Linked DNA regions of Lytechinus pictus. The main gene of each other region encodes a partner of the protein of the gene in region 4 in a complex. Links are inferred from orthologs where the notes say so. Each region holds a gene or a part of one and is shown on either strand. Other genes may lie near its edges. The genes, in order: serine/arginine repetitive matrix protein 1-like; SNW domain-containing protein 1-like; RNA-binding motif protein, X-linked 2-like; 116 kDa U5 small nuclear ribonucleoprotein component-like.

Region 1 (7,841 bases), on a different chromosome or scaffold from region 4:
GTTTTGTTATAAAGGAAGAAGGAAGCTTGGGTGCTTCATTAAATTGTTAATTATCATGAATCCATTTCAAAATGTGAGCAGATGTTACGGAAATATTTATTTAATTTAATTTCAAACACATTTTAACCCCAACTGAATTGACCTGTTATGTAAATACTCCTTGTTTTGGCAAGAAAATACAAGAAGACTATAGCCATTCTGTGACGAAATGCTAAGACCAAATTCTGTGTAAAGCTCTATATTCATAAATGATTTTATTTCATTACAGATGGCCATACTGTTTTGCTGATATTGGACATACTATTAATGTACTCTACCGTCTCTTGCAGTCTGAGGGAATGAAACTAAATCCTGAAATAAAATCATCAAAATGTCAATAAAATTTAAATGTGAAAACATATAAAAGGGGGGAAACTTCCATTGAGTTATGAGCAAATCACACACAATTAATCATGAATCAGAATATTATATTTTCTTCAAAACAATTATTTTTCTTTCTTTTATTCGGTGGGGGGTCACAATTTCCAAATTTCTTAAATTTTATTGTCGTCACATAGATAATCTGATCAGCTCATAACGTATTAAGTATAGTAGCATGGTAAGAACTCAAAAATTGATGAAAACATTAAAGTTATGTATTACTTACTTGTCTCAATCGCCTGGTCCATGAAGTAAATGAATCTCTTTGTACATAATAGGTACATTATAAGATTCATCTAGCAACATTCTTAATTCTGATTTTTAATGGTCAGTGTGTTATAATAGCACAAAATCATAGAAAAATAACATACTACATACTAATACAAGACAAACTATTTTTTTTCTTCAGATTACCTTTTGTTGAATATTTCTCCAGTGGCATCTCATCATTACCTACCACTACAAACTGCATGTAAAAGGGAAAAGTTCATGTGACGGCTCATTTAACTGCCAACGGGCTAATTGACTTCGTCTTTTTTTTCATAGAGTAAATTTTGTGGGCCAGCATTAAACTAATTCATCATTTTGGTTGGCAAAATGATCTAAAATCATACTTGAGTAGGATTAAAACAAAGATACTCAATAAGAAGCACTAATATTTCCCGTTATCAGTGCAAAACATTGCATGACAATCGGGTCTTGCCAAAAGTGCTACATACATAGTAAATCTGTGTACATGTAGCTCAACTGCTCAAGAACTCAAAAGCCTTTACCTACCAATCAAGACTTCTATATATAATCTCCTCAAAAGGTTCTTGAATTCAAAACTGAATACTTACCTGTAATCAGCATCAGTTTTAAAAGCTTGTCCTGTCTAACAATAATTAACCATCACTATGTTGGAGGAGGGGGTCGGAGAGGATTCCACTGGACACTTCACGCAAGAAGTAGGTTCCTTTGCTGGGCCCGGTAACATAAAGCTTTATAGCAACTGATCACAGGGCTGCTGTCTACAATTGATAGCATTGAGTCTAGAGTCTGGTGAGTCAGTAAATTAAATCAGCTCCACGTCCAATCGCTTTGCTTTATGTTATGTTTCCTGGGGGTGTTTCACAAAGATTTAAGTATGACTTAGAGTCGCCCTTAAACACCCAGTTGCGTACGGTATGAAAGGCTTGACCGCATTGGTCAGATCGTGTCATTAGGAAGCGCACTACTGTGTATCTATCAAAAAGATCGCCCGTTGCATATCATGTACGCGTCGGCATTTAAGTGCGACTTAAGTCATACTTAAATCTTTGTGAAACACCCACCTGGATGTGCATTATTCCTCCTACCTGAATAAGATCCCATTTGCTCTGCCTCGTCTTTTTTTGCTTACCTATTATTAGCTACCTTAGGCCATGCAGTCGCACATTATTAAAGATACCACAAACATCACTACTCTTTTGTTGTGAACAGCATACTTAAATGTAGTTCAACTTAAAATAAAAATGTGTCTTATCGAAAAGCATAGAAAGCAATCTATAAATACCTGCACAAGATGACCTATACCAATGACAAAACCTAATGAGTTCTCACCATGGCTACTATACACTTGACCTATGAAATAATGACCACAAAATATTGACCAGTACAATGATTAAAACATCAATCAATTTAACCTTAACACAGAGTTGACTATATACAATCTAGACAAAGAAAAGGCGACATCTTACTTCTTCTTCCAATTGGTTAAAGATGAACTCAATGAGGACATCATCTTCCACTCCAAGCATCTCGGTGACTTTCGTTGTAATCCATGGTTTTAGTGTATCCAAGTTGACCTTACTCATGCTCACCTAGAGAAAATTGAACAACAGAATTGATGAAATAAAGGGAATAGGGACAGCCCATTGCAAATGGTCGGAGTCAGAGATCAAGTGATTGGCAAACACCTCTCAAACAACCAGTCTTTTCATTTTCCCGTCACTACTACTAGATACTTGATATTTTATAAGTTTACATTTCTAAAGATTACAAGTCTTGGTTGGAATGAATTCCCAAATCTGGTTCATAGAGACAGCAGGATGAACAGAGCAATAACTGTATACTTTGCGGATGGGGGTGTTGCAAGAAAATATTTGCGGTCAATTGCAAATATTCTGTTGCAATTTTACAACTGATAGATCAACGTTAGCTGTAGCAAATCGGATTAAACTACTTGTTTCAAGGAGTAGATTAGCAATCAATCACTAATTTGCAATTAACTACAAGCCAAGTAATTGATGTAGCGTCAAAAATAGACTTACAATTGATCGCAGGTTTCTTGCAACACCCCATAGACACACCAAGCCAAGAGGTGGCTTCTTCCCAGTTGCATAAAATCTTGCCTCTTTATAACCCCCCCAGCTTAATACATGTAGGTGAATAATACTTCAGAACATACCTTCCTCTCCATAATAGGGTTGAACTTGAGCGATCTCAACAGCTTCTTTTTCTTATTTGTGAAGCGATTGTCTTGGTCGGCACTGGTGCCCTGTAAGAAATTGGAGAATGTAGAGAAAAATAAGGTTACTTGTGTACCAGACATCATGAACTGATTCTCAATGTTAAACTGATAACCAATGTCAACCGGCACTTTTACTGATTTAGAGCTCACCTACACCGAGCCCCACCAGAAGCCATGTGGAGCAAAGAACTGATAATACCTTGGATGTAAGCGTTAAAGTGAAAAAAAACCATATATGCCGCTCGTTGACTTCTCATGAAGTATCCCGAACACAATTTTAATGGTGCTGTACAGCAGGGCGCAACTTGCGCCGGTTCGACGGTCCCCGACCGGTAAATATCGCTGTCGGGCCAGTAGATTTTCAGAAATAGCAAGATGTACTGGTCCGACATGACCAGTAAAAAAATATCATTGCCGGGCCAGTAATTTTTCCAAAATAGCAAGATTTATGAGTCCGACATGACCAGTAATAAAAACCATTGTTGGACCAGTAACTTTTTCCAGAAATGGTCAAATTCACTGGTCCAACATTAACATAAAAAAATATTCCATGACTCAAATTGCAAACCATTTTCCTCCCGTTAATTTCTGTCATTCACACACAGAATACACACAAAATGAATCGCATGTAAGTGTTAATATGTTACCATACAGTGTACATGTAGCCAGCCACACAACCCACATGGTAAATTCTCTACTGGCTGCACATACGAAGCTTGGCTAACCTCTGGCAGAAATCTCTCACAGGACTGTCAAAATTCACAGTTCACACTCATGAAAGGCTCTTATTTATATAATGTCCATATTTCCTAAAAATTGGGGTAACTCTGTCATTTGTAAGCAGTAAAAGGAGAAATTTTCACTTCTGTTTTAGTTCAAACAGATCGGGTTTCGAGTGATATCGTCTGAATACATGATAGCCCACATGCATTTGTGTGTGTGTTGATACACTTGGTTTCTGACTTTCTCTCGTAGCTATATTTTAATTGAGCCAAAACGAAACTGATAATTTATTTATGATAATAGTTTAAGCTTTCTTCCTCTGTTGTCTTTCTTTCTTTCCATCTTTCTTTTCAATCTTTCTTTGTTTCTTCCCTCTCTTTCATTTTTTTTCTGTCTTTCTTTTTTAATTTCCCTTTTTTTCTTTAAGTCGTTCTTTCATTCTTTCTATCCTTTAAAAAAATATTTTTCTCTATTTCTTTTTCTCTTTCTTTCTTCTTTTTGATTTCTTTCTTTAATTCTTGAGTCCGTCCATCCTATATTTATCTCTTCTCTTCTTCCTTCCTTTCTTTCCTTCCTTCTTTTTACCCTTTCTTTCCTTCATTCTTTGTTACTTTCTTCCTTCCATCCATCCTTTCTTTACCCTTTCTTGTTTCTTATTTCTTCCTTCTTTCAGCCCTTTCTCTCTTTCTTTCATTAAGTCCTTCCTTTCTTCTTTCTGTCTTTTGTTCTTTCCTTTTTCCCTTCGTTCAATCTATCCTTTTACCTTTTTTTTTTTTTACTGCTTGCTTCCTTTCTCTCCTTTCTTTCATTCCTTCCTGTCTTCGTCTCTCAGTCTTTCTTTTTTTCTTACTTTCATCTATTCTTTTACCTTTTCTTTTTTTATATTGCTTGCTTGCTTCCTTCCTTTCCTTCTGTATTTATTTCTTTCTTTTTATCTATCATTTTACCTTTTTGTTATTTCTTCCTTATTCCTTTCTTCCTTCTTTCATCCTTCCTTCCTCTCTTTCTTTCTTTTTTCCTTCTTTCCATCTCTCCTATTACCCTTTTTTTATAGCTTCTTTCTCTCCTTCACTACTTTCTGTCTTTTGTTCTTTCTTTCTTTATTGCTTGCTTCATTTCTTTCCTTCATTCCTTTATTTCTCTTTTCTTTTGTTCTTTCTTAACTTCCTTCCTTCCTTTCCTTCTTTAGTTCTTTTTTTTTTCCTTCCTTCACATCTATCCTTTCTTTACCTTTTCTTTTTTCTTCCTTCCTTTCTTTTATTCTTTCTTTCTTTCTGTCTTGCTTTCATTTTGTCTTTCATTCCTTCATTTTTTGGGGGAGGGGGTAACAAGAAAGGACTTTTTTATGTTTTCTTTATTTTGGGGGACCAGTAGATTTTAGGTTCGGACCAGTAAAAGATTGAAAAACTGGGTATCTACTGGTCCGACATGAATAGGTTGGACCAGTAGAAAAAATGGGTTAGTGTGGAGCCCTGTGTACAGCATTTGTAAATGGACTTGTAAGCATCATCGAGCATTATACATGTATTTGCTGTGAGTAGAAAGTTTTTAGGGAGGATATACTATAGCATTTCTTCCCTTTTTGCAGATAGTTCTGGGGATATTGCAGTTATTTGGTTTTTCGAACGTCAGGCTCCACAAAAAAACAAGGGAGAAATATTGATCTATAAATTCGTACTCACAGCAACATATTTCTATATAAATGTCATATTGTGAGCAACTGTAATAATGAACGCCCGCATTTACACGCCAGAAAATAATTTCACACTTTTAACATCCTCTAAATCTAGTTGTATGTAACGATAAAAAGGGCTAAAAATTATTTTCAAAATGCTGATCAGCAGCAATAACTTTGTTTATTTCTAACTTTTTTCAACTTGTTAGAAAGCACATATCCAAGTGTGATCTTTTAATTTTTGCGGTTGGAAGCCGATAGATAGGATCGTATTTCGTAACCAAAAAAACAACGTATTACTATTTTTCATATGTGAAGTTTTGACATGACTGAAAAAAAGAGAAATTACGAAAAGTGTAAGGTAATTACTGTATACGACCAATATACAGATATAAACCAAATATGGCGCGAATGCAGTATCGCACCAGCCTATTTCCAGAGAATTTCCCCAACAGTAATTGTTTGTAAATGTCATAGCAAGACTCTCAATCACATTTCAAGGTCAATATACCCACGGCTTTTCCAAATATCGCGATCGGGAGCAGCTTTATTTCAGTTGTATCATGAGGCGAGGTCATTGTCCAATTCTCATAATTCAGACATCGCTTGGGCCTTGGCAATGCTTGGCTTCGCCGAAGTGTGATATGGACTGAAATTAGCGACCAAAACTAAAGTAGATCTGCCTGCTTTGCAGCAGCTCGTTGTGTTTGTTTGCCGCATGTTTGCATGAATTTGGTGGCTAACCTCGGTCCATATCAAATTATCGGTGAATCCAACTCCAATGAAGCGATGTCTGACTGAAAATTCGAACGGTGACATCATATTCAAGCCGAAATATAGACCAAAAGCTTCGGTTTCTGTTATATGGTTGTTCCGCTGAACTCCGTTGGCTCCACTCACCAATTACAGAGACCGAAGTTCTAACTTGATCTGTACAAGGACTCAATGGCCATTCAGATAAACCCACTCAAGGGTTCATTACGTGCCGCCGCGCACAGAAAAATCAAGCCATAGAAGTCGTGTGTTGTGGACACACAGAACGCGCGACCCACTAAGGCACTAACTTTTAGTTAGAAATCCACTGCCAAACGCGGTTCAAATACTTACTATACTAACCTCGCAATACATGTGAGATAAACCAGGCCAGGGAAGTGATAGTTGCGTAACAGCCGAAGTAAGTCACTGTTTTTTTACCTTTTAAGTTTATTTTTTCCCCGTTTTGGTGCATTTCAGGCCAAAACGGAATAATGATAATAATAGGGTGTCCGGACCTAATTTATATCTTCGGATCGGGTTTGAATTACGTGTTATGACTGTATTCAATTGAAAGAGAAAATTTCACTCTTACCAACTGCTAAATTTGATGTGGTAAATCCATTTCACAGCAAAATTATAAGCGAACGAAAATTGACATTTTTTCCGCCGATTAGAGCCCAAAAGCCTCTCAAAATGTGGTCATCCACGGTACGCGATCATGTCTTTTTCAGGAATCTCCGGAGGAGTCTCCGCGAATGTTGCTTATGACGTCAGCGCGCCATGTTTATCACGCGCCACGGCTCATGAATATACATCAAAAGTTCGCTTTACGCACCCGTACGGGTGCGTTTAGGTCAAATGCATGTCACGTCGGAGATATGAGAGAGTCAGGAGCAACGCTCCTTGGAGAGAAAGGGAGAGAGAGAGAGCGACGGAGACAATACTTACGTGCAGAGCCCACGGGATTTGAGAGAAGATGAGAGAGACAGACAGAAAAATTATGATGAAATGTGTCTGGATTTTGTGTGCATCACGAGTGTGTGCATTTTCGTGGAGTCAATGTACATGTGAGTCTGAATAACATGCAACACGTGGCTCTTGACCAGTCATGGAAATTTCCATTGTTGATGTTTAAGTCTGAGCATGGTGTCTGGGCTGAGAGAATCTGGCACGTGTATGTGATTTGCATGTGATGTACAATGCATTTTACCGAGTGTATCAATTACAGATCAACTTGATTCACTCTAATGTATTCCCCTGAAGGCGAGATGAGATGGGGGGGGCGTCAAAGAGTGAGAATATGTCCGATCGTAAGTTTTTTAATGGTTTGCCATTTTAAGTTAATGCTTGAATCTCCCTTTTTCGTATGATTCCAGTTGATTCTTAAAAACTATTAAATGTTTGTAATGAGGCGCTGGTTGGGGAGCAAGGTGGAGGGGGGGGCATATTCCCACCCCAGTCCTGCCCGCAACCATTCAATCACTTTGTGCATGATTGTCAGAAAATTCCAAGTGTTTCCGAGAATGGTTACCATTTTTTATTGTTGTATTTTGCTAGTCAAAAAAGTCTACCCCCCCCCCATTCTGCTAATTCCTGGTAAATTGACCCCTTTTCTTTATATCTTGTAAAATTTCAATCTCCATTGGTTGGTGTTGATTCCAACTTAACTTCATGATTTAATTGATTGGCGTGCATTGCGAGTTGTAACTTTTTATTCAATGATAATTCAATCTCCCTGGTTTTGATTTGTAAAAAATCTACTGGAGCTGTAACTGG
Region 2 (7,358 bases), on a different chromosome or scaffold from region 4:
TTTTCAAGGAGGATCAATAAAGTTAATTCATTCATTCATTTATACTGATTCATTCAAGCCATGGTAACAGTTGGAATTTTTATCTCGGAAGCTAGATCCTCCATGTTAAAGTCATGGATGTAAAGTTGCAATATTGCCATCTATATCAACATGTGAATGAAAGTTGCCACATGCACATGTAGGTGACAGAGGGCTTGTGTTAAACCAATGATATGATGCCACTGCCTTGGATGTCCAGTCCACCTTAACTGTCTCGTTTTCCTCAAATTTCCCCTTTACAGACAGTGGTTGTAAGATGTTTTATAAAAAATGACCTTGTCCTCAGGACAACTTTATACTGCAAGGGCTGTAGGCAGTGATGCAATGAAAATGATAGTTCTGTGGTACAAAATGAAATCTGTATATCACTTGATTAATTACGATGGCAATTTTCCACATTTCTAAAACAGAGGTATGTCACAACAAAAAATATATTTTCTACGCCACTTTAAGTTTCCCACTTGAAGTATCCCTCACTTTCAATATTTATCTGTAATTTTTTTTACAGTACATTCATTGAAATCAGAATGAATGACTAACTACATGTACCTTCTCAACTTTGCTGCATATTTGTTTGTTTGGGTCTCTTTTTTTTTAGGGGGAGGGTATATATATATTAATGTACTTACAGCCAATGACCGAGGCACCCATCCTTTCCGATGACCATACGGTGGAGCTGCATTCCTTGATACAGAAACCACACGTAACTGAAAAAGAAAGAGGAACATTATAGTGCAAATTTATTAATTTAATACAACATCCTATTATTAAACTTAAGAGAATGGGTTCATAAAAGTCACATTCCAGCATTATATTTAATGATATCATGAGTAAGTCTGTCAAACAGCGTAAATCATCATATCTTAACTTTTTTCAATTTTCACTATTTGTCTGTCTCTTAGCGGTTGCAAGCAACACATTCAAAAACAGGTCACTATGTTATTGCAACATTCTTTTTTTAACTCCTACCCCATTGACATCGTACAAAGGGTTGCTGAGCTTTGTCACAAAATGTTTATGAACAGGCCTTATTAGTACTATTGTAATTATTTAAAATGAAATACGTGTAGGAATGTTCATTTGCTTACCTCTTTGGCTCTCAGGTCTACCTCATCTTCTTGCCCCCATTGCTTGGGTTTAGGTAGGATGCTGTGGAAAAAGTATAATTTTTTTAGTCAATTGCTAGTATTTGATAGAAAAGAACAAGGAAAGATGAAGCAGGAGAAGCTTGCAGCAACATTTGTTAAAATCCCAGAAATGTGTCTGACTTGTCAACGCAACCCTAACAATTGTCACATCACATGGTATAGTGAGTGATTGTATTACCGACCGGCCTTGTTTTACCCAACGCGCATCATACGCGTGAGAAAATGATTTTGTACGCTCAAACTTTGCAACATTCTTCCAAAGGGAACTTGAATATAGAGATGATGAAAAATGGTCAACAAGTGGAGCGCCTCTGGCAGTCTCACCTGCATTACGCAATTCAATATAGCAGCAGTGCTGACTCTAAAAACTACTATGAAATTGGCAAACATGCTTCAAAATGGCTGAATTTGTGAACAACTCTCCATTTGTTTGTACACAAATTTTCAGATTTTCCTCATTATCTTTCAAATTGCAGCTTGCTTCCTTCTGAGCACGACATATGTCTTGGGAAAATAAAATTCACACCACATATGTCAAGGTCAGGAGATGTGAAAAATGTAAAATAAAGGGGAAAATCTGAAAATTTGTGTACAAAACAAATGGAGAGTTGTCCACAAATTCAGACATTTTGAAGCACATTTGCCAATTTGAGGATCCCTATAGAAAGTACAAGACTTTTTAAATGTCCATAACTTGCTTATTTCATAACCGATTTTGATGAAACTTTTTTTTGTAATTGTTCATCTCATTTTACCTAAATTTCCAATAAGATTGCTTCTCTTCTTGGGTTTTGGTTACCTAGCAACTATTAATATTCAGGCCAGAATTTTTTACCTCCATACATAGCTCAAAATTTTCTGCTTGCGCTCTGCACTCGCATTTGGTAATTTTATTCCTATTTTTAAAGAGGGCGTTAACAAAAAATGCTAAATTCCTTGATTTTGGCCACCCGGACCAATTATTAGGCTCGCTGTATTGCCCGATTTTGTTTAAAATCAAATTTGAAAATTCTAGGAAATATCTATGAATTTCAGGAAATTTGGGATTCAGTTTCGGGAATTTTATTTTGGAGCTTAGGAAACACTGGTCCGACTCCTACCTGTAGATTTCCCACAGGCACAGGCAGGATGGTTGCAGCGTGCAAGTGGATAGACTAGTTAATGCCCACACAAGACACAAGTCCACAATCAAAAAGTGTATTCCGGCAGACGAATCCCTGTCTGCTATCACACACATTGCCATCACCACACTCAGTCACTGTTAGATTCCACTCACTAAGTCTCACACAAATATTGAGCTCTACCCTGGGTTTTACATGTAACTCTTGTGCAATGAGCATTACTGTGTCACAGAATTGTGATATCGCCACTGGAAATGTGTGCATAAGAAATTACACACGCCAGTAACGGCACCGGCCCCCTGTGTATTCACAATCACCGTTCACACTCGCCACTCTTACTTAGTCTCACGTCCGTCTAGCAATTGATTTTACTGTAAAAAATACCAATAACCCAATCATGAAATAAATTTTGTAAATAATCTACTCACTCAGCAAGTGACACCATAGTAAATTTGACGAAAGTCTTGGATACAATGCAGAAATCTCTGGGCAAACTATCGGCTGTCGTCGAATCTCCTCAGAAAGCTCGCTACGCCATAGGCTTTTAATGCATGTCTTCTAACGCTAGAGGGAGACGTGCCAATTTCCGATCACAACAGCCGTGGCCGAGTGGTCTAGGCGCCAGGCTATACATGGAAAGTCCGGGGTTCGATCCCCGGCCGCGGCGCCTATGCCCGTGAGCAAGGCATTTAATCTACAATGCTCTTTTATCCTGCTTTCAAATAAAAATGGAAATGCTATATGCATTATTGGTAACTAGGTGTGCACTTGTTTAAAAAAATATATATATATTCCGATCACATATACCGGTACATATTAAAAAAAAAAAAAAAAAAAAAATAGGCGTTAATTCATACTTGCCAGTTGCCACCAGTGGCGTAACTACGGGGGGGGGGGCATGGGGGGCACGTACCCCCCCCCCCCCCCCACAATCGGCTGGCCAAAAAAAAAACGGGGAAAGGAGAAAAAGAGGGAGAAAGGGAGAGAAAAGTAGTGGGGAAAGAAGGAATTATTGTTAATTATAAAGTTATATTATATTATAATTATGTTATATTATATTACATTTAAAAAATCATAACTTTATGAAACATAATTTGCGCAGGGCCTATGTCTTCATTGTTCTTGGTGCTCGCATTGTCTGTTGAACAAGATATATAATCCTGTTGTACTAAAACCTCCCGTTTTCAAATCAATATACAACAAATATATTTCCTCGCACGTCGAATTCTTGTTTTAAGTAGTGACATATTATGCTTCTTTTTCATGGCTACTTAAAGTGATTGCCCCCATTTTAAGGTCTTAATCTAAACCATTTCCTGTCCGTGCTTACGTTAGCATTCGTGGATTGGTGAGATATGTCTGTTTTTCATGAATTCCTAAAATCAGTCCTTAAAATGTCCTTTTTTCTGATCTGAATATCAAAAATTTTCAGCCTGCGTTTCGCGCTCGCATCATTTGGTTAGTGAAATACGCATGGTCTCCGTGAATTCCTACAAGCAGGCCTTAGAATGCCCCTTTTCAGATCTGAATTTCCTTAATTTTCAGCTCGCGCATCGCGCTCGCAATATTTGATTAGTGAGATGCGTATGATAATCATGATTACAATGACTATAAAAAGTGCTTCATGTGTTTAGATGTAATTCTAACAAAATCAGCATGCGCTTGGCACTTGAATTAGATGACTATGGTGAGATATGTGTACTCTTAATGGATTCCTTTAAAAAAATAGTCCTTAATATAATTATATCCCTGTTTGGGGTCAATATATTTTCAGCTCGCGCTTCGCGCTTGCATCATTTGGTTAGTGAAATACGTACGTATTTCCTCGTGAATTCCTACAAACAAGCCTTAAAATGCCTCTCTTCAGGTCTGAATTTCCCAAATTTTCAGCTCGCGCTCGCAATATTTGATTAGTAAGATGCGTATGTTAATCATGACAATGACTACAAGTGCTTCATGTGTTAAGATGTATATTATTCTAACAAAATCAGCAAGCGCTTGGCACTCGCATTAGATGATGGTGAGATACATATATATACTCTTAATGGATTCCTAAATTATAGTCCTTAAAATGTCCCTGTTTGGGGTCAATATATACACACATTGTGTGCGGGAATGACTGATTAAATCCGATGACCGGGGTAATAATATATCTGTAAAGCGCTTAGACATGCCGTTCCGATGTATTAAGCAGATCATTATTTTCTTGTTTTTTTTCCTCTTGGAGATCGAGCAGTCGGGATTTGGCTCATACGAAATCAATGACACCCAAATTTCTCCTTCTTGGTTTTCTCTTTCTGACCCCTTTCCCCCGATTCATTCTCCCACTCTCTTTCTCTCTCTCCCTCTCCCTCTCTCTCTCTCTCCCTCCCTCTCTCATTCACCTTTATATTTTGAAGTTGTACCTTCAAATGTTATCCATATGAATCATGTACCAAATATTTTTTTGCATCCACACCAATAAACAATCATATCGCAATTCTATTTTTTATTCATTTTTCTTTTAACATTAGCCCCCCCACTGCACCCCCCCGCCAAAAAAAAGGTGAAAGGGACTGCTAGTATGCCCACTAGAATGGTGTTCAAGAGTTTCTGTTATTTTCGATGTGACCAAAAAAAAGAAAGGTGAAACAACAAATTAAGAGGAGTGATAAAGAAAATATTTAATCCCATAAGTACGGTGCTGAATCGCATATGAAAAGATTGAATGGGGCAAGCAATGTTAAGGGATAGCTTATACCCCTTTATTTTTCCTTTTGATACGAAAATAAAGTTACCTTTGGAAAACCCCAACTCCAGTGTAACTCATATACTATACCACTGGACAGTTCTTTCACACCACAATACAAGATCACTGAAGAAAAAAAAATGTTTTGGTTTTCTCGTCCAAAGTTTTGTTCATCTGTCATTTTACAGTAATTAATCATGTTTTAATTATAATGTTGATATTTCAAAAGGGCGGCTCAGATTTATTTGATGATTTGTTTTGAAAATCGCTTTCCAAATATATAGGCCTATATGAATTTTGAATGATTGTTATTCTAACGAAAATATGAGTACTCTTGTATTATTTTGCACATTATGATTATGTTGAAAAATCCCATACATAGGGTCTCTCGGTATGCTCTTTTATTTACTTCCTATGTAGACATGTAATAGGTTTATCATACTCTGTTCAGGGCATTTTCCTAATGCTGGGGAAAACAGAATATATTACCAATGTAAAGTTTTTGTGAATCTTTTTTACTTCAGGTGTGCCAATTGTAAAAAACCCCAAAACAAAACGATAAACACGTGTTACTGAAACTGTGAAAGGGGGACCTGGGTCATGAAATTCTACTGACGCAGATATGGGGGGGGGGGGGGGGGGGCTTGGGTCATGGCTCCCAAAAGTTCCACCACCAAGAAAAAAAAAGGAAAGGAAAAGGGGTAAGATACGATGTTGTTTTCTGAATATTATGTAAAAATCTATTACAAAATTAGATTTTCATTCCAAAAAGGTAATTTTTCTGCTTCAGTTGCTCTACTTTCTCACTCAGGACTTATAAGAAATATTTTTCACACACATGTCGTACCCATATCCCCCCTCTCATTATGTCACTGTGATCTTGTCGTATTCGTGAAATTATGGATCCCTTGACGCATATAAATAAAATTTATCTCTTCAGTGTATCATTGTCCCTGATAGTATGATGGTTGTTAATAGTATACCTGTCAATAAAATATGTTCAGATGACGATTTGGAGAACTATCGTCCTATGACTTACTGACAGTGGCGTACCTGGCATATTTCGTCAGGGGGGGGGGGGGACAAGCGACAAAAATAAGCAAGGCGGGGGGTAGTAGGCATGGACGTATAGGCACAGTTTTCAAGGGGGGCTGATAATCATTGCCCAAATATCAAATTCACAGTTTTTAATTTTCGAGCGAGCGAAGCGAGCGAACATTTTTTCCCAATTATTATTTAGCCTTTGTACATGATATGGAACTTGCAGAAATTATAAATTCGGTCATCAAATTACCAATACACGAGGATTTTTGGGCACCTCGTAGTCCTCGGTTGCCCTGCATTTTGCAACCCCCCCCCCCCTCCATACACGTTTGGATGTGTAGGTCTGGAAGTGGCACTGAATGTGGGAAAGGTTACCCAGGGGATGCCCAATAAAACAGTTGGGATCTTGCTACTACTGATATTTGCTATCGGGCGATTGCACTTTATTGTCGAAATTATTATTATTTCTGTATATCATTCCAGAAATGAAATGTATTGGATCGTGATCGATATATTTCTAATCAAGTGGTAATTGCAATGTTTATATCAAAATACTTCCTTTATTACTCTTTGAAGGTGTTTACATTATGTTCCCAATTCTGCTCATTTGGAGACGTTATAAAAGAGGTATTTGACATTGAAATCAGTTGTATTCATGTATTGATTTGCATTTGTTTTATTTCCATATACACAATTAAAACAAAAATAAACGCATCCATCCACTCATGAAAAAATAAATATGAACGTGAAAATATATGCGACAGTAACATGATATATCACTAGATATGGGGAAAATCACTCACTCACTGGCAGGAATGTCAGAAGGTTGAGGGAATTGAAATTGGAAAAGATAGATAGGCGGACGAAGGGATCAGGTACATAGGATAGATAGGGGGACAGTAATAACCAGAGGAATGTGTAAGCAGGGGTATAGCTAGGCCTTTACCCGACAGATATCAGTACCGATTACTGACGTCCGACGAACAGTACTCATCTATATCCAACCCAGGGGCAGATCCAGGATTTTCAAGGGGGACATTTTGTTTACAAAAATTTGACAAGCCCCACCTCCAAAAAGTCTTCACTTTTAATTACACTTGCCTAACAATTTACACTAAAATTATATAAAAAATAATAATTGCGAGCGCAAAGCGCGAGCTGAAATTTTCTAAAAATTTAGACCTAAAACGATACATTTTTATGCACTTAACTATGAATAGGATGGGTATCTTCCTTAATAAATTATGCGAGCGCGAAGCGCGAGCTAAAAATTTTGAT
Region 3 (7,839 bases), on a different chromosome or scaffold from region 4:
ATGTCTTATCAGCTGGTAGGCTGAAACGAAAACATCCTAAACCACACACACACATACCACGTACATATATGCTTACAGTGCGTCTCAGAAAAAAGAAATCGCGTTGTCAGAGTTTTCCAGTAGAGACGACTGGTTGTTTTTTGCTATCGCGGAGTATTTTTTACAGGGACAAGACAACATGGGACGACCTAAAGAGTGATGTAATTTTATTTTACTCTCAAGAATAATAGGGAATTTGTATTATAGGCAAACGAGATAGCGATGCCTATTATGATTGTAAAATACTCTTGGTTCGTTAGTAGTTACTATAGTAACACTTTATTTGGGCTCTTTATTTCCAAATGAGAGGAGATTTAGAATTACATAATACTTCTTGAATTCTGCCATGCAAGCATAATTTGCTGAAAGTTTTCAAAATAAGGATTTACTCTCATTTCGTTGTCAAATATAGTTCGATCAAAATTTATTTGATGATTGTGAATCTAGGTTCTGAAAAACGGGTTCCCTTTTGCTGGGATGCAATGTCATCACACTTCCGTCTCTCGGTCGATTGAACAGGAGAGAAGGGGAAACAAGCTGGACGGAAAACATCTGCCGCCTTTCTTGGTCCATCAACGGCACCAAACCAGTCCAATGGCAATGTCCATATCATAAAATTATTATAGCTTTTGATTTGGTTATTTCTTGAAGAGAGGGAAGATTTTTTTTCTAATCAGTCCGTTTGGAGTTCATTTTGTGAAAACCCAAAGAAAGGACTTGATAAAGACCCTTATTAAACAGGTTTTTCTCTCCATTCTTCAGTGCTTTACGCCCTTAATTAAAAAAAATACATCAAACATGTTGCTGTTTTTAACAAACCATTCAATGATAGAAACAAGCGATCAGAGCATAAAATGAAAGAGAGAATAAAACAAATGAAAGGGACGAGTGAGAAATACTAGCACGAGACATAAATTTTGATGTTCACTTTTTTTATTTATTATTAAAGAAATCATGAGTATATGACCAAAGTAACAGCTGCAAGATTATTGGGGTAAAAATCATTTCGATAGGAGGGCATTCTGTGAAAACCTTCACTTTCTATATATTTGTCAACGAAGCAAAACAAACAAAAATCAAAATCACTGAATGGAAATAAAGATAAAAGGAAATATGCAATATAGAATTACAAATATGAAGAATACGATTATAATATATGCTTCTCATTTTCCAACGTTCTTTTCCTATTTTCCACAAACAAAGATCAGCCAGAGGGTTCAGATTTTACCAGATACATCATTATACAATAAAGAGAAAAAAAATATAGGCCGAGGTTCTGTCCAATGGAAAATAGAAAGTGTCATATTTGAATTTCTTCCACCCTCTAAGAACCTAAGAAGAATAAACAAAATGGAAAAGGTTTTTTTTTTCATCTACGTTCACCTGAAGTCTGAAAAGGGATTCAGACTTCAGAAGTATTCGTTTTTTTTTAAATTATACTTCATTTCTTCATCATCATATAACATGAATTGTGAAAACAATGTACATGTATATCATATGCCTATATTGTATGAAATTATTAACATATTGGTTATTGGTTCTACATTTATAAATTAACCTTTTAACATTTTAACACTAAAGAGTCAATATATGGACATCTTTTTTGACAATTTATATTCACAAGGGGAGAAATACAGAAAAAAAATCTTCAAGAAATATCTATAAACAGAATTGTAAAAAAAACGCAAACATACATGCATAAAAGGTCCTATAGGCCTATTCTAGATACCTGTAAGTTGAACATGATTTTATTATTTCATGTACAATATCAGTAAATCAAAATATTATGAGGAATTCATAATAAAAAGACACAAAAAATATGAACATAAAAAGACAATCTCATTATCACGCTAGGCAAAGCTTCACAAGTCTACCCCCCCCCCCCCCGATCCCCCACCACGGCCACCGAAACGATGCATACATGAAAAGGAGTGAAAGGCTGGCCGGGGATATGGTCATGGGGGAAAATGTGAAAAGAACCCGAGAAATGAAATGATCGCGATCGAGGAATATATTTTGGTAAGGATCAAGGAGATTATGACTAGATCTGTTCGATCAAAAGAGCTTCAGCTCCTTGGTTGATTATGTACCAAGTCGCGTGCCGCCATTATTTTTATTCATCCGTGGCTTGCGCTTATGTCTGCTGCTAGAGCTCAATAGAGCGGGCGAACGTGTACCCTCAACTAACTCAAGCTGTAGTGTCTTTGCTACCGGTCACGGCAGTGCTAGTGCGACGTGCTGCTAGAGCTAGAGCGGCATAGTACGCACAGACAGCAGCTGGCGATGCGTAAGGGCAAAATGCAACTGAGCTCCGCGGCTCCGCCAATTTTCAACAATTCGATTTTTTACATTCGATTTTTTTCTTTGATGGGCATGATCGAAAATCGGCAAGTGATCGCCGATTGTGGTGAAATCGAATGGAATCGGTTGCCGATTGCAAAATCGGTTACAAGCTTAGTTCATGATGTTTGGACCTCATTCAATTGGTACTAGGTCGTGGGTTACCACTGCCACTGCACTGTACATGCCGCCGCGCACAGAAATATCAAGCCATAGAAGTCGGGTGTTGTGGACACCAGAAGTGGGATCCCAGCACGCGTGACCCACTAGTTAGAAATACACTGCCAAACGCGGTTCATGGTGCGAGGTTATACTATTAACCTCGCAATAAAAGAGTGATCCCGACCCTACAAAGTCAAAGACATGACATAAAATTGAGCGAGTGGGACAACATATATTAGTTTATTACTAGTCGAGTGAGAATTATAACGCAGCTGAAAAAGAGACAACAGATTGAGTGTTAATATTGCTGATATCATCATTTACACTGTTCATACCCTAAATTCAAGATTTCATCAACTTACTTCATGATCTCCGCGGGGATTTCCGCACGTACCGGTACATAAATTAACAAACAGACATAGCATAAAGAGGCAGCCCTGCATGCATAAGACCAACCAACGTAGAGGGCAACAACACGGGCCTGTATTGACGGTGCTCTCAAGATGCATAGGGGTGCCGTGGACGACAGAGTGGTCTATTGTTCATGGCAAGTCTCGGGTTCGATCCTCGGCCTATATATGCCCGACGTGCTCAAATGCAATCAATCATCATCTCGATTCTGATTAATTTTCGGCAAACTAAACTTCGTTCCGGAAGACATAACAATCGAGTCTAGTTTATACTGCAACTGCTGTGAATAAAGTGTATTTTTTTCTTCTTTGTTAGCTAGTTTCAGTGATATGATTAACAATATAAACATTTTTTATGTTTTATTCTAAGTGAAATGATGTAAGCATATTTTGAAATGAAGAAAATGCTGATTATTTTCCTCAGTTATTGTTGGCACTTTTCAATCTTTCTAGCACAAGCGATTTCAGTTGATTATAGATTTGCAGATTGACATTAGAAATAGAAATAATAGTAACTTTTTTTTTCAAACAAAAATGTCAGGTCCATCATACCGCCATTTTATACTCCTCTCTCCCACACTCTCTTTTGATATTTTTTTTCACCAATACCTTTTCTTATTCTCACTACTATCAAAATATCTATATTCTCTCTCGAGAATTAAATATGTATTGTGTTGTTGTTGAGGATGCTAAATCAAATTATGCCCGTCTTAAATATTAGTAGGAGTGGGCTGTACATGGTCATGGGTCAAATATATATATATTTTTTTTTTGTTATTTTGATAAGGGAACAGTTCTTTAAATTCCTTTTAATGTATCTCAATATGAAATGACAATATTTTTTGGTCTCGGGTCCCCCAAAAAGTGTGCCGGGCCAATTAAAATCCTAAATGACCGCCACCCCCCAATCACATATTTTGTCCACAACTATTTTATTTGGTGGTCCTTTTTCTGATTTTGGTGTCTGTTTCTGGGAGCAGGCAATTTGTTTTGGCTAAAATTTGTAGGGCCTGCTACACTGCAAAAACTCTGGTGTTGATTTAACACCAGCCCGGAATCAATATATGTCAACACCAGAGAAGTGTTAAACAACACCAGTTAAGTTTTGGTCTAACACCAGATATGTGTTTACAACACCAATTAGTATTAAAAGAGCATCGGCTTGATTCCAAACCGGTGTTATCTAAATATTTCTCTGATGTGGACATATTTAGATTCCTGGCTGGTGTTAAATCAACACCGGAATTTTTGCAGTGTATAAAACCATTATTTTGTAGAGTTGAAAGGTGATTTTACCTACTATTTGTCATTTATGATGGTGAGGATAAAGGAGGAAAGATATGAAGGCTGGGGTATTTATTAATGTTTCAAAATCATAACATTCACGAAATTGCACACCCTTTTCCTGATTTGGATTATGACAGTGCTTATCCCCCCCAAAATCACAACTTTCTCTGTGTGTGGTTTGTTAAGTTTTTATTGCTGTTGCTATCGTCCTCTTCAATGGAAGTACCCCCCCCCCCCTCAGATGACCCTCAAATGGCAACTGGAAAAAAAATGAAGAAAAAACAAAGCAAATTGGCAACAGGTTAATTATTTGGAACCTTATTTCCCTTTCCCCAGGTAGAGCTGAAGGGGTCCAACGTGTCTAAATTTGTTTACAGAAAACCAAAACCAAAGGAAACATTTGAAGAGTAATATGAGAGCAATAAAAAAAGCTTTGTTTTATCAAAGTTACAAAATAAGAGTTATGTAAGTGTGTAAAGTCTTGATGTAAATTCAATGGGTGTCCTCATATTGGCAACATGCTAAATAATGACTAATTTCGCTTTTTACACAAATTTTCAAAATTACCTTACAAACCACATCTTGCTTTATTTTGAGCGCAACATAATATGGGAAAATACAATTCCTACCATATGTCATGGTCAGGAGATATCAGATATATTTTGCAAATGTAAGCAAGCTTATGAATAGTGTTTGCAAGACTCTTTAAGCTTCCATAACTCTCTTATTTTATAAGCGATTTTTAAATTATTTTTTGGTTTCTCTTACTCTATTCTTTCAAATAAGCTAGATTCTTTCTTGGGTTTAGGTTGCCTATATTTATGTATGCAATATTTTGTAGTCTTTCATAAATAAAGATAAACTGAAATGAAGTGAAAGGAAATGGCTTGATTTTTTTTTTCAAATAAAGAGTGGCACAATGATTCATTTGTTTGTTCACATCTTTCACAGAAAGGCTATTCATGTATATAGACTATTAAATGTTCAACATAACAATAAAACATAAAAGAAACAGCACATCAATATTTTTCTTCAGAATTATCAGTTTAATAAGTGTCATAAATAACAAAATATTATTCAAGGCCATATGGTAAAAAAGAAAATCATACTACATAAATTGATGTAACTTCATATTCTTGATACACCAAGGCAAAGGGACATTTCAATGAACACAAAAGGACATAAATGATTACTTGCCTCAAAGAGATTAAACAGATAAAAATTTTGACTGCAGGTGATTTTGAAGGTTCTTTATTTCAACATGACAAAGAATGTGTTGATCAGCAAAGTAAAAGGAATGCATACAAGTTAGAGAAAATGTCATATGACCATGTCTGGTGACCTAGTGTTGCAACCTCTCAAATGTCTTGTAAGAAAGTATATAAATTGATAATAAACCCCAAAGTTCAATGACCTCAAATGACATTTGACCTTCACTGGTAAACACATTGATTTAATATCATTTGTGATATCCAATAACCATTTCACACATTTCACGTTTCATTTAGTTAGATGAAACACTTTTAAGATGACGAACATAACTTTTTTTTTATCAGAGTCGATTGATCTGAAATTACATTTGACCGTCACCCAGGGATACAATTGTTAATCATGTAATTGATGACACAAAATGTACCTAAAAACATCAAAATTTGAAAGAATAACTCTTGTCCTTTGTTATAAACGAAAATACTTTAATAGCTGAAAATGTGGTCTTAGTTAACCCAAGTTTAAACCATGGCTATCAGAATATGACCCAAAGGCCCGTATTCTGAAGTCGGGTTTAACAAAGACCATGGTCTAACTCTGTGCTAAAACTATGGGAAGCCAAACGTTTCAAAATTTTGTTTTTAGAGTGAATGCTTCTCATGTTTACTGTGCTCTTAACTAATTCTTTATTGGTGAAGACGACTGTCATACTTATCTTTCCCAGGCAGTTAATGTTTTGGGAGTCAAATGAGCTGATACATTGAACCTCTACTTGTTGTAGATTTATATAACAACTGGCTTTCCATAGTTAAACCACAACTAAAAACCAGAGTTTAAATTAAACCCGACTTCAGAATACGTGCGAAAGGGTTTAGCTCAATGTGGTATTAGATTACATGAGAAAGAGACAAACTGCTCATGATATAAATACTCTAAACTGCCTGTCAGTGATTCTCACTGCAAAAGGTTCATAATTATACAATGGTACCTACAGTTAAGGCCAGAAGTTTACATACACCAAGGAAATTTAAAGAAAAGCTGACATTTGTCAAACGTCATAAAATTTACTGTATCTTATCAAATATTTTTGCTATCATGACGAATTTGATATCAAATTCATGAGTATGTCATATATGCCCCTTCATCACATTGATTTGTCACCAGGAGCTGAAAAAAATATTTAGGTGTCATTTTCCCCAAAAAAATCTTCATATTTTAGACAAATTAAAAGTAATAACTTGACAAAAACATTTCATATTTGCGCTAGTTACTTCCCAACACAAACATTTCAGATTACACTTTATTGTTCAGTGGTGACATATCATGATAGAAAATGTAATCAGTCAGTCGGCAAGCCCTCAAAAAGTAGCTTCTTTTATCCAAGTGATATTCATGACTAGAGGGTTTTTGCATTGTTAATGAGCTTGGTGCGGACGAAAACACCTCTTTTTATTCGGGCATTGCTGCTCTAAATATTGACCAAATTTCATGTTTTTGGTATCTTTATAAAGAAATATCATTCTTTCATGTCATGTGTCTGGATTTTTAAAAAGATTTTATAACATAGGTGAAACTTTTGTTCTAAAACATGAAACAAAATAATTATTTTAATGCAAAAAAACTTGTTGTTTTAACACTTAATTTCTCGTTGGGCCCAAATAATTTTTAGATTATGATAAAGCTCAAGATCTAAGCTTTAATATGATATAATTTTCATAAGAAGAGGTATCTTAGATGGGTCAGCAGCCAGCTTTTAATAGGCCAAGTACATTTAGCAGTTTAAAATCAAGAATACCATGCTTTGTTTGGTCATAGAGACCACACACCCACGCAAATTCCAATGTTCCCATTCAACCAATCAGAACTCTAGATTTTATGCTACTCAGAAATTTCAGAAATCTCGTCTTGCATTTCGGTGGAAAAAGCTGGCTGCTGACCCATCTAAAAGGTGCCATATATCAATAGTGACATTGTAAGAAAGTATAGAGTTTGAGCTTTCTGATGATATAAATAATATTTGTGCCTAAAACACAAAATTTTGCACAATTTGCAAGAGAAAAAAGAGGAAGAAAATTCCTTTTGAGGCATCTTTTCATGCCTAAAATTCACTCATTTATCAAAATATTTTATTCAAAAGAAATGCTCAGTATAAAAGAGTAACGTTTACTCTTTCATATGGTACAAAAATAACCAATTTTACTCAAGGAGAAAGTGGTTAAATTCTTTGAGAAACAAAGTTTCACAATTCACGAGATTTTGCAGGGACATGAATTCAGCCACGAGAGGACTTGGATATATCTTGCTCATTAAGGCAGGGGCTTGCAGACTGACTGTAATATAGATTTTACATTTATATATTTTTATGAAACAATGATTGAAAATATAATAATAA
Region 4 (7,863 bases):
ATAAGAAAAGGATGATGCGTAGGCTCGTGACTCATCCTGAAGCGCTTCGAATTTGAATGATTAAAAAACTTAAGTGTCATTCAAAATTTCAAACTGAGGGCGCCAGGGGCGGAAATCTCTCCCAAAAGGTAGGGGGGACGCAGTTGTGGATCCAGCCTTCGCCAATAGGGGGGAGGGGGCGGAAAGTTGTTTCAGCCATATTTTCCCCGATCGGCAGCTCGAAGATGATTTTTGTTTGTTTCTTTGAAGGGGTAGTCCTCACTAGTGACTTCTTAGCTTTATTCTTATAAATTAATATATAATATCGCAATCCTTATTTATATGATGCGAGCGCGAAGCGCGAGCTAATTTTTTTGTGGAAATCTTATGTATTTTTTCCTAAAATTTTAATTTTCTGGGCAATGTTTATTATCCTGAAAAAGATGTGTATGCAACTAAATAATTACTACGAACGCAAAGCGCGAGCAGAAATGAACTGATGGAAAAGATACCTGTTAAAGACTGCTTGCATTTAGCATTTAACAATCTAATAATGCGAGCGCGAAGCGCGACCTGACATTTTTTTGACACATCACCTAAAGAATGGAAATTCTAAGCACTGTTTGTAACTCAAGCAGAATAGGTATATAAGAAGACAATTGATGCGAGCGCAAAGCGCGAGCGGAAAATTTCGAGATTTAGTCCTATAATATTTACTGAACGAGATACTCTATTCATGTTTTGTAAATCATGAAAAGGATTAGTATTAATAATGCGAGCGCAAAGCGCGAGCAGAAAATTTTTATATACGTTTTGAACTGGTACCTGTTGAAAAGGTACCTGTTAAGGACAGCTTGCACTTAGCCATGAAGGCGTTACATATTTCAACAATCAAAAAATGCGAGCGCGGAGCGCGAGCTTAAAATTTTTGAAATTTCTAAAGAAATAATGGAAAATTTTAATCAATTTTGTTAGTCGTGAACAAGATAGCTATATAATCTAACAATTGATGCGAGCGCGAAGCGCGAGAAAAAAAATCGAGATTTAGACCTAAAATGGGCCACTCTGTTCATGTTTTGTAAATCATGAAAAGGATGAGTAACAGGGGGTCTTCCTACATTAATAATGCGAGAACAAAGCGCGAGCAGAAAATTGTTGATATTGTGATCTGAAACTGGATAATGATTTATATATAAACATGCGCGCGCGTGTTTCATATTTAGCATGTTTAGACCTAGAATCTAGGCATTCTAAATACATCTTTAATCATGAAAATCATGAAACGTTGATATTCCGATCTGAAAAAAAAGTAAATTTCAGCTTTATTTTAAAGGAGAATGAAACCCTTGAAACCAGCTGAATCCATATCAAAGAGAAAAATCAAAGGAACACATTGTTCAAAGTTTGAGGAAGATTGAATGAATAATAAGAAAGTTATGAGCATTTGAATATTGAGATCACTAGTGCCATGTAGATCCTCCCATCGGCAATGCGACCAAGATCTGTGATATCACACACGTACAACTCCCTCATTACTTTAGTACTTATTTCACTTATATTCTCACTTTTATAGAGTCTATCACAAGGTGAGGTGTTCTCTTTATGAGATGACAAGTACAGAGGTTTCACAACATTATATCATTGATGAATCGTTTGTCATATGATTAGAATGAGCAAAAATAAATATTTTGGGGTATATTTTCAGTGTCCAAATGGGAGAGTTGTACGTGTGTGACATCACAGATCTTGGTCGCATTGCCAATGGGAGGATCTCCATAGCATTAGTGATCTCGACATTCAAATGCTCATAACTCTTTTATTGCTAGTCCTATTTTACTCAAACTTTTGTTGACCTTATTTTTTTATTTTTCTGCTTTCACAAAAGCTAACTTGCTCCAAGAGTTTCATTCTCCTTTAAGCACTTTGTAGGAAAATTGTAAGGTGGATATGGATCGCACTTAAAAAAGAGCTGATATTTTCATTATTATTACTTTGAGTTTTTACATAGGACCTGGGGGGCGTTTCATCAATATTTTCGTCCGACAAGTTGTCAGATCTGACAACTTTCCTGGATTCTGATTGGTTGAGAAGCACTGTTACTATAGTTACTGTCGGATAAAACAGGACTTGTCGGATAAAACGTCCGACAAGTCCTTTCATGAAACGCTCCCCGGGACATCCTTATGACATGTCATCATATGAAAATGATGACTATCTTCCTAAGCGCGAGATGAAACAAAAGGGACAATTTAATTATTAAATTAATATATTTATTAATGCCTAATGAGGGCGCGAAATCTGATGATATTATGGCATAAAAACTGGACATTTCACTTTTGTAAATATGAATAGGATGCATCAGTTAATATATTTTTAACCATTAATGCGAGCGCAAATCGCGAGCTAAAATTTTTGATAAACTGTCATGAAAAGGGGAATTTAAGTAGTTAGTTGTATAATCAATATTGAAACATACATAATTCGCCAATCAAAATGGCAGTATGAAACGCTAGCTGATACGTCTTGACAATCAGACCTGAAAAGGGATATTTTGAAAAAATTTGGAATACACGAAAATAATAGGTACCTGATAAATCAAAATTTGTGAGCGCGGAGCGCAAGCAGCAAAATATTCAGACCATAAAACTAAAAAAATTTACAGAGAACTTTTTAAAAATCAATTTGTAAATCACACAAAATAATGAAAGTTCGATTTCCGAGGTTTTCTGAAAATTCAGGGGGGGGGGGTCCGGGCCCCTGGATCCGCCTATGGGGACAAGGGGCTGGAAAATTTGACAAGCAAAAAAAAGGTTATCATCCCAAAAGTAAGGTCATCTCGACCCAACTCGTCCCAAAATAATGTTTTATTTCGATTAAGAATGATGTATTTCTTGCCATCATAAAAGACCAAAAATAGTAGGGGGACATTTGATATTGTGTCCCCCCTACTATTTTGAGTAGGGGGGACACGTCCCCCCTGTCCCCCCTGGGATTTCCGCCCATGGAGGGCGCAAAACAAGACAGGAGATGAATGCGCAGGGAAATGACATGAAGTTTCATCAAATTTGATAAAAACCTTGTTCTTTTTTTATTCAATACGACACGAATTTTATACCATCCTCTTATTAAATTAGAAACCTGTTTGCCCCCAAATTATGAATGTTTAGTAACTAGCTGAAAAGCGGGAGAAGTGGCCTATATGGAGGTGACGGCAGAATTTGATATAAAGATTTTACACGCCCGGAGCCCCCCCCCCCCCCCCCAGTGCGGAAATGTTGCGTGAAAGAAGAAGATAACTTCATATAATTCGGCCTAACCTTACTCTAATGCCATGCCCTAATGCATACTTGAACTTTAACTATAGGAACACACTAGTCCTATAGCCGAGGTGGAAAAACAGGGTTAGAGAAAGGGTGATGGAAACAAAGGAGAACTGCAATATTGTAATTTAACCGCGCGAAGCGCGTATGCAAAATTAATCATTATAAACTTAGAGCGAGAGTGAAGGGGTTTCGTTAAGGTCCTAATTCTTTTGAGAAAAAAAAAGAAAAAGAAAAACCCACAAAGCTACATTTCTTCCATTTCCTCCCTTCGCCTTTCCTTTTCTCCTCTTTTTTCCCCCTTTTTTTTCTTCTTCTTTTTGGGGACGTTTTGGAGGGGGGACCGCCCCCCCCCCCTGGCGCGCACCTGCAGCCTTACTCTATTCAGAATGTTGAGAATAAAATTAGGAAAATAAAAGGATAAATTAAGGGGAAATACAAAATTACAAATTGGGATTATCAAAGGAGGCGTAACGCTAGGCCTACATACATCATACCACTGTTAATTATAACCCCCCCCCCCCCGCCGAATGCTGGGGCCTCCCCTGATATTCTTTGCCGGTCGAGAGCTAATGTTTTCTAGGCCTACTTTGGTTTCTATCTTTGACTGAATATTTAAACGAAGCAAAACAATGGCTGACCGTGAACAAATTTCAACTTTACAAATATCACAATATGATCACAGCAATTTTTAAAAACTAAGATTAGAAGTTACTGAAGAGCTATATCCTCTAAAAATGAAGACATGAAGCCGACAGAATTATGGGGGGGGGGGGGGGCACAAAGCGCACCATCGCCGCTCCCCAAATTTAGGGCGGGTAGAACATAAGAGGAAAGAAGGATGGCCAAGGGGGTTGATGAAATTAAAGGTCAAGTCCACCCCAGGAAAATGCTGACTTGAATAAATAGAGAAAAATGAAACTGGCATATTGCTGAAAATTTCATCAAGATCGGATGTAAAATAAGAAAGTTATGACATATTAAAGTTTCGCTTATTTTTCACAAAACAGTGATATGCACAACTAGGTGAGTCAGTCGATGATGTCCATCTCTCACTATTTATTTTGTTTTTTATTGTTTGAATTATACAATATTTCATTTTTTATAGATTTGACAATAAGGACCAACTTGACTGAACCATATAGTATTAAACAATGCTAATTCCACATGTTCAGGGAGGAATTAATCATTGTATCACTTGACAATGAGGAGAAAATTAGAATATTTCATATTTCATAAAAATATAAAAGAAATAGTGAGTGAGTGATGTCACCTGCAGTTCCCTCATTTGCATACTAGCCAGAATGTGCATATAACTATTTTGTGAAATTAAGCGAAACTTTAAAATGTCATAACTTTCTTATTTTACATCCGATTTTGATGAAATTTTCAGTGTTATGCTTGTTGGATTTTTCTCTTTTTATTCAAATCAACTTTTTGTTGGGGTGGACTTGTCCTTTAAAGATTACACTTTCATAGCTAGACATCGAACTTGGAAGGGGGGGGGGTGGCCAGGGGAGTCTAGGTATTGTTTGATGACGTTCGATAACGCTCATTGGTAGTCTAAAAATTGAGACTTTGATAGTAGCAATGTCGCGGTAATAACGTTTTATCAGGTTGACTTGAATTCAAATACAAAATATAAGAAGTACAATTGTTTTGAGGCAAAGAAGTTTTAAATACTGGACTTTGCATATCTACGAAAACAAAATAAGATATTGGTCGTGGCTTGAAATGGAATCCACTTTAACAATTCGTTGTTGATCGATCATGCACGCGCTTATGTTTTAGACTATTATCTTCGCCGCATGTATGGTGGCGTTTCGTCAACGAAAAGCGGCAGATTCTTGTCTGGATTAAAACCGTTAAATATAGTAATAAGGTAAGTGATCTTAGCATCTTATAATGTCATGCTTATTTATTGTAGAATGTCTCGTTTATTTTTGATATTTTGATTCAAATACTCGAATGTATGGGAATAATATTCGACCTTTTTCTGGTCCACAAAGTAAAGTGTAGTCCCATAAATTTCATATTGTGTAAGTCATTCATGCAGAGACTCTCCCAGGCCAGGCATGTGTGAGGTTTCCGCGTTTTTTTTAAAATTCATTTCCGCGCTTCTTTGCTCTTTTCCGCGTTTTCTATTTTTCCTCTTTTTTTCCCTCCTATTTCTTCCGTTTTATTGTTAGCCTTGCAAAACAGACATTAAAATATATGCGTAATTTTCTGTAGAAATGTACGTAATTGAGCCTTTTTGAGGCGATATTTGTAAAAACGACTGTTGAAATAGTCTAGTCACTCTAGACTCGAGTCTAGCAAAAAAAGGTATGAGCTGGTTTTCATCGCATGTGTCGTGATGTCGATGATGTGCAATGGGACAGCGCCGTAGTAGTACCGGGACCCTAGCCCGCTAGTGTTTGCTGACGGGCCGCTCATTTTGCCTAAGTCTAACTTAGAGTTAGACAGCTGGCACTGGCAGCCTTCTGTTTCGAGGAGTTTTTTAACATTTTTTTATTTTTTGTTATTTCTCCTCGTACACAGACAGCTCGCGATCGTGCAGCCGCCATTAGGGGGTATACAATGCGAAATCTCCCTGACGGGGCTCATCGATGTTTGTCTTTATTTCATTTAAATATATAATATAAAAAGAACTGGACCAAAATAAAGATTATTATTCCATTTTGGCCTGTAATGCACCAAAACGGGAAAAAATAAACCTAAAAGGGGAAAAAACAGTGACTTACTTCGGCTGTCGCGCAACTCCCACTTCCCTGGTTTATCCGAACTTAAATAATACATAAACATATGGCCTTTTGAGTCCCCGTACAGATCGAGTTTAGAACTTTGGTCTCTGTAATTGGTGAGTGGAGCCAACAGAATTCAGTGGAACATGCAATATAACAGAGACCGAATCTTTTGGTCCAGCCTAAGTCTAACGTTATACCAAACGCTTCAGTCTCTGTATTTTGGTTGTTCTGCTGAACTGCGTTGGCTCCACTCACCAATACATAGACTGATGAATTGTTGGCCCGTACGTAAAGCCAACGTATTAGTAGTATTAGCGCGCATCTTCCTGACAAAGTCACAAAGACGAATGCATTGAAATGGAAGTCGCCAACATGCGCGATCGTTTGGAACATGTTTAAAAAGGGTTTTGAGGTGTTACTGCTTTGAAATAAACCGAGTGATTTTTATTAGAAAGATAAACGAATGACACATCTTCCGAGCAAAGTCGCAAAGGAAAATAAAATGAAAATAATTATTCATAGATCACAGGTTAATGAACGATCGGCGGGACATCTTTTATAAGTATTTTTAGGTGCTAGCGATGTAGAATTATTGGAATGATCTCTTGATCTCATACGACGCATTGTATCTTAAAGTCGCAAGTGAAATTAAAACGTAGTAGAAGTCGCAAGCACACGCGATGATTCGGAACATGTTATTAAAATGTTGTGAGGAGCTAGCGTTTTCAAATCAATTTATTACTATCTTGAGAAATGAACTTTTGATATCCAAGAAGAAATAGAAAAGAAGCATCTCCCGACGAAGTTGCAAAGACAAATAAATTGAGGTTGAAGAGAAGATAACGATGTAAGAGAGTAGCGCAGTGATGTCCGTCAATAATACAACCTTTAAAAGTTCACGGCGGCGTCCGCTATCACCACAAGGTTGAAGAGAAGATGTCTATCATAAACGATTCAAGAGAGTAGAGCAGTGATCTCCGTCAATAATGCGACCTTTAAAAGTTCACGGCGGCGTCCGCTATCACCACGAGGTTGAAGAGAAGATATCTATCCTCGTAAACATCGTCAGATAATACCACGTCTTTCTCCCTGATTAATGCGACCTCTAAATAGCTAGCACCTCAAAAAAAATCTTGAAAAATATGTTCTGAACGATCACGCACTGTATTAAAACTAGATCTACGCCGATTTTTTATATACGATTTTTTCCTTCAAGGGGCATGATCGAAGATCGGAAGGTGATCGCCGATTGTGGTAAAATCTGATAAAATCGGGAGCAGATTAAAAAATTGGTTACAGCCTTACTTTCAGACCTTGTAAGTAAGTAGATCTAGCTAGGCCTATTTCATCTAGATCTAATGTTAGGCTCAATAACTACAGAACTGTAGGCCCCTATTATTTTTTTGTACAGTTTACCAACTCAAAAAGTATGTAGAAATGTCATCAAAAGTATGCTTCAAATTGCACCATTTGTCATACGAAATTCAAAAAGCGTCACGCAGGGCCACACCCATCCCCTGCTTGGTCGCTCCGCCTCCGCTACCTTGGGCCTCAATTGTTGCAGCAAAATATTTTCCTCCACATATTTTTCTACCCCACATGCCTGCAGAGACGACAGACGAGAGATAGAGGGCTGGGCGATCGCGAGCAAGTGCAAGGGAAGGGAAACTTTTTTTATACCCGGTAATTAAGTATTTATTAAGAATATAACAACATGATCAACACAAAATTCAACTTAAATCAAGAAAATTACGACCATAAATAGTAATGAACATATTTACATGTCATAAAGAATATGACTTTCATACATGTATGAA

Evidence for each region.
Region 1: 116 kDa U5 small nuclear ribonucleoprotein component-like (region 4) and serine/arginine repetitive matrix protein 1-like share a complex: the UniProt entries of both Homo sapiens proteins name them as parts of the minor spliceosome. The link is inferred for Lytechinus pictus from reciprocal best matches to the Homo sapiens genes EFTUD2 and SRRM1.
Region 2: 116 kDa U5 small nuclear ribonucleoprotein component-like (region 4) and SNW domain-containing protein 1-like share a complex: the UniProt entries of both Homo sapiens proteins name them as parts of the minor spliceosome. The link is inferred for Lytechinus pictus from reciprocal best matches to the Homo sapiens genes EFTUD2 and SNW1.
Region 3: 116 kDa U5 small nuclear ribonucleoprotein component-like (region 4) and RNA-binding motif protein, X-linked 2-like share a complex: the UniProt entries of both Homo sapiens proteins name them as parts of the minor spliceosome. The link is inferred for Lytechinus pictus from reciprocal best matches to the Homo sapiens genes EFTUD2 and RBMX2.

Annotation. Positions count from the first base shown.
Region 1 is NC_087248.1:16,740,569-16,748,409, forward strand, and holds the start of serine/arginine repetitive matrix protein 1-like, read right to left. Parts: upstream 3,008-7,841; 5' UTR 2,996-3,007; coding exon 2,849-2,995; intron 2,262-2,848; coding exon 2,139-2,261; intron 352-2,138; exon of another isoform or gene 302-351; intron 1-301. UniProt on the Homo sapiens protein: Part of pre- and post-splicing multiprotein mRNP complexes. As a component of the minor spliceosome, involved in the splicing of U12-type introns in pre-mRNAs. Involved in numerous pre-mRNA processing events.
Region 2 is NC_087251.1:28,641,477-28,648,834, reverse strand, and holds the start of SNW domain-containing protein 1-like, read right to left. Parts: upstream 3,021-7,358; 5' UTR 2,754-3,020; coding exon 2,737-2,753; intron 1,189-2,736; coding exon 1,128-1,188; intron 747-1,127; coding exon 669-746; intron 1-668. UniProt on the Homo sapiens protein: Involved in pre-mRNA splicing as component of the spliceosome. As a component of the minor spliceosome, involved in the splicing of U12-type introns in pre-mRNAs.
Region 3 is NC_087260.1:9,504,962-9,512,800, reverse strand, and holds the start of RNA-binding motif protein, X-linked 2-like, read right to left. Parts: upstream 3,020-7,839; 5' UTR 2,909-3,019; coding exon 2,904-2,908; intron 1-2,903. UniProt on the Homo sapiens protein: Involved in pre-mRNA splicing as component of the activated spliceosome. As a component of the minor spliceosome, involved in the splicing of U12-type introns in pre-mRNAs.
Region 4 is NC_087257.1:27,317,450-27,325,312, reverse strand, and holds the start of 116 kDa U5 small nuclear ribonucleoprotein component-like, read left to right. Parts: upstream 1-4,859; 5' UTR 4,860-5,181; intron 5,182-7,863. UniProt on the Homo sapiens protein: Required for pre-mRNA splicing as component of the spliceosome, including pre-catalytic, catalytic and post-catalytic spliceosomal complexes. Component of the U5 snRNP and the U4/U6-U5 tri-snRNP complex, a building block of the spliceosome.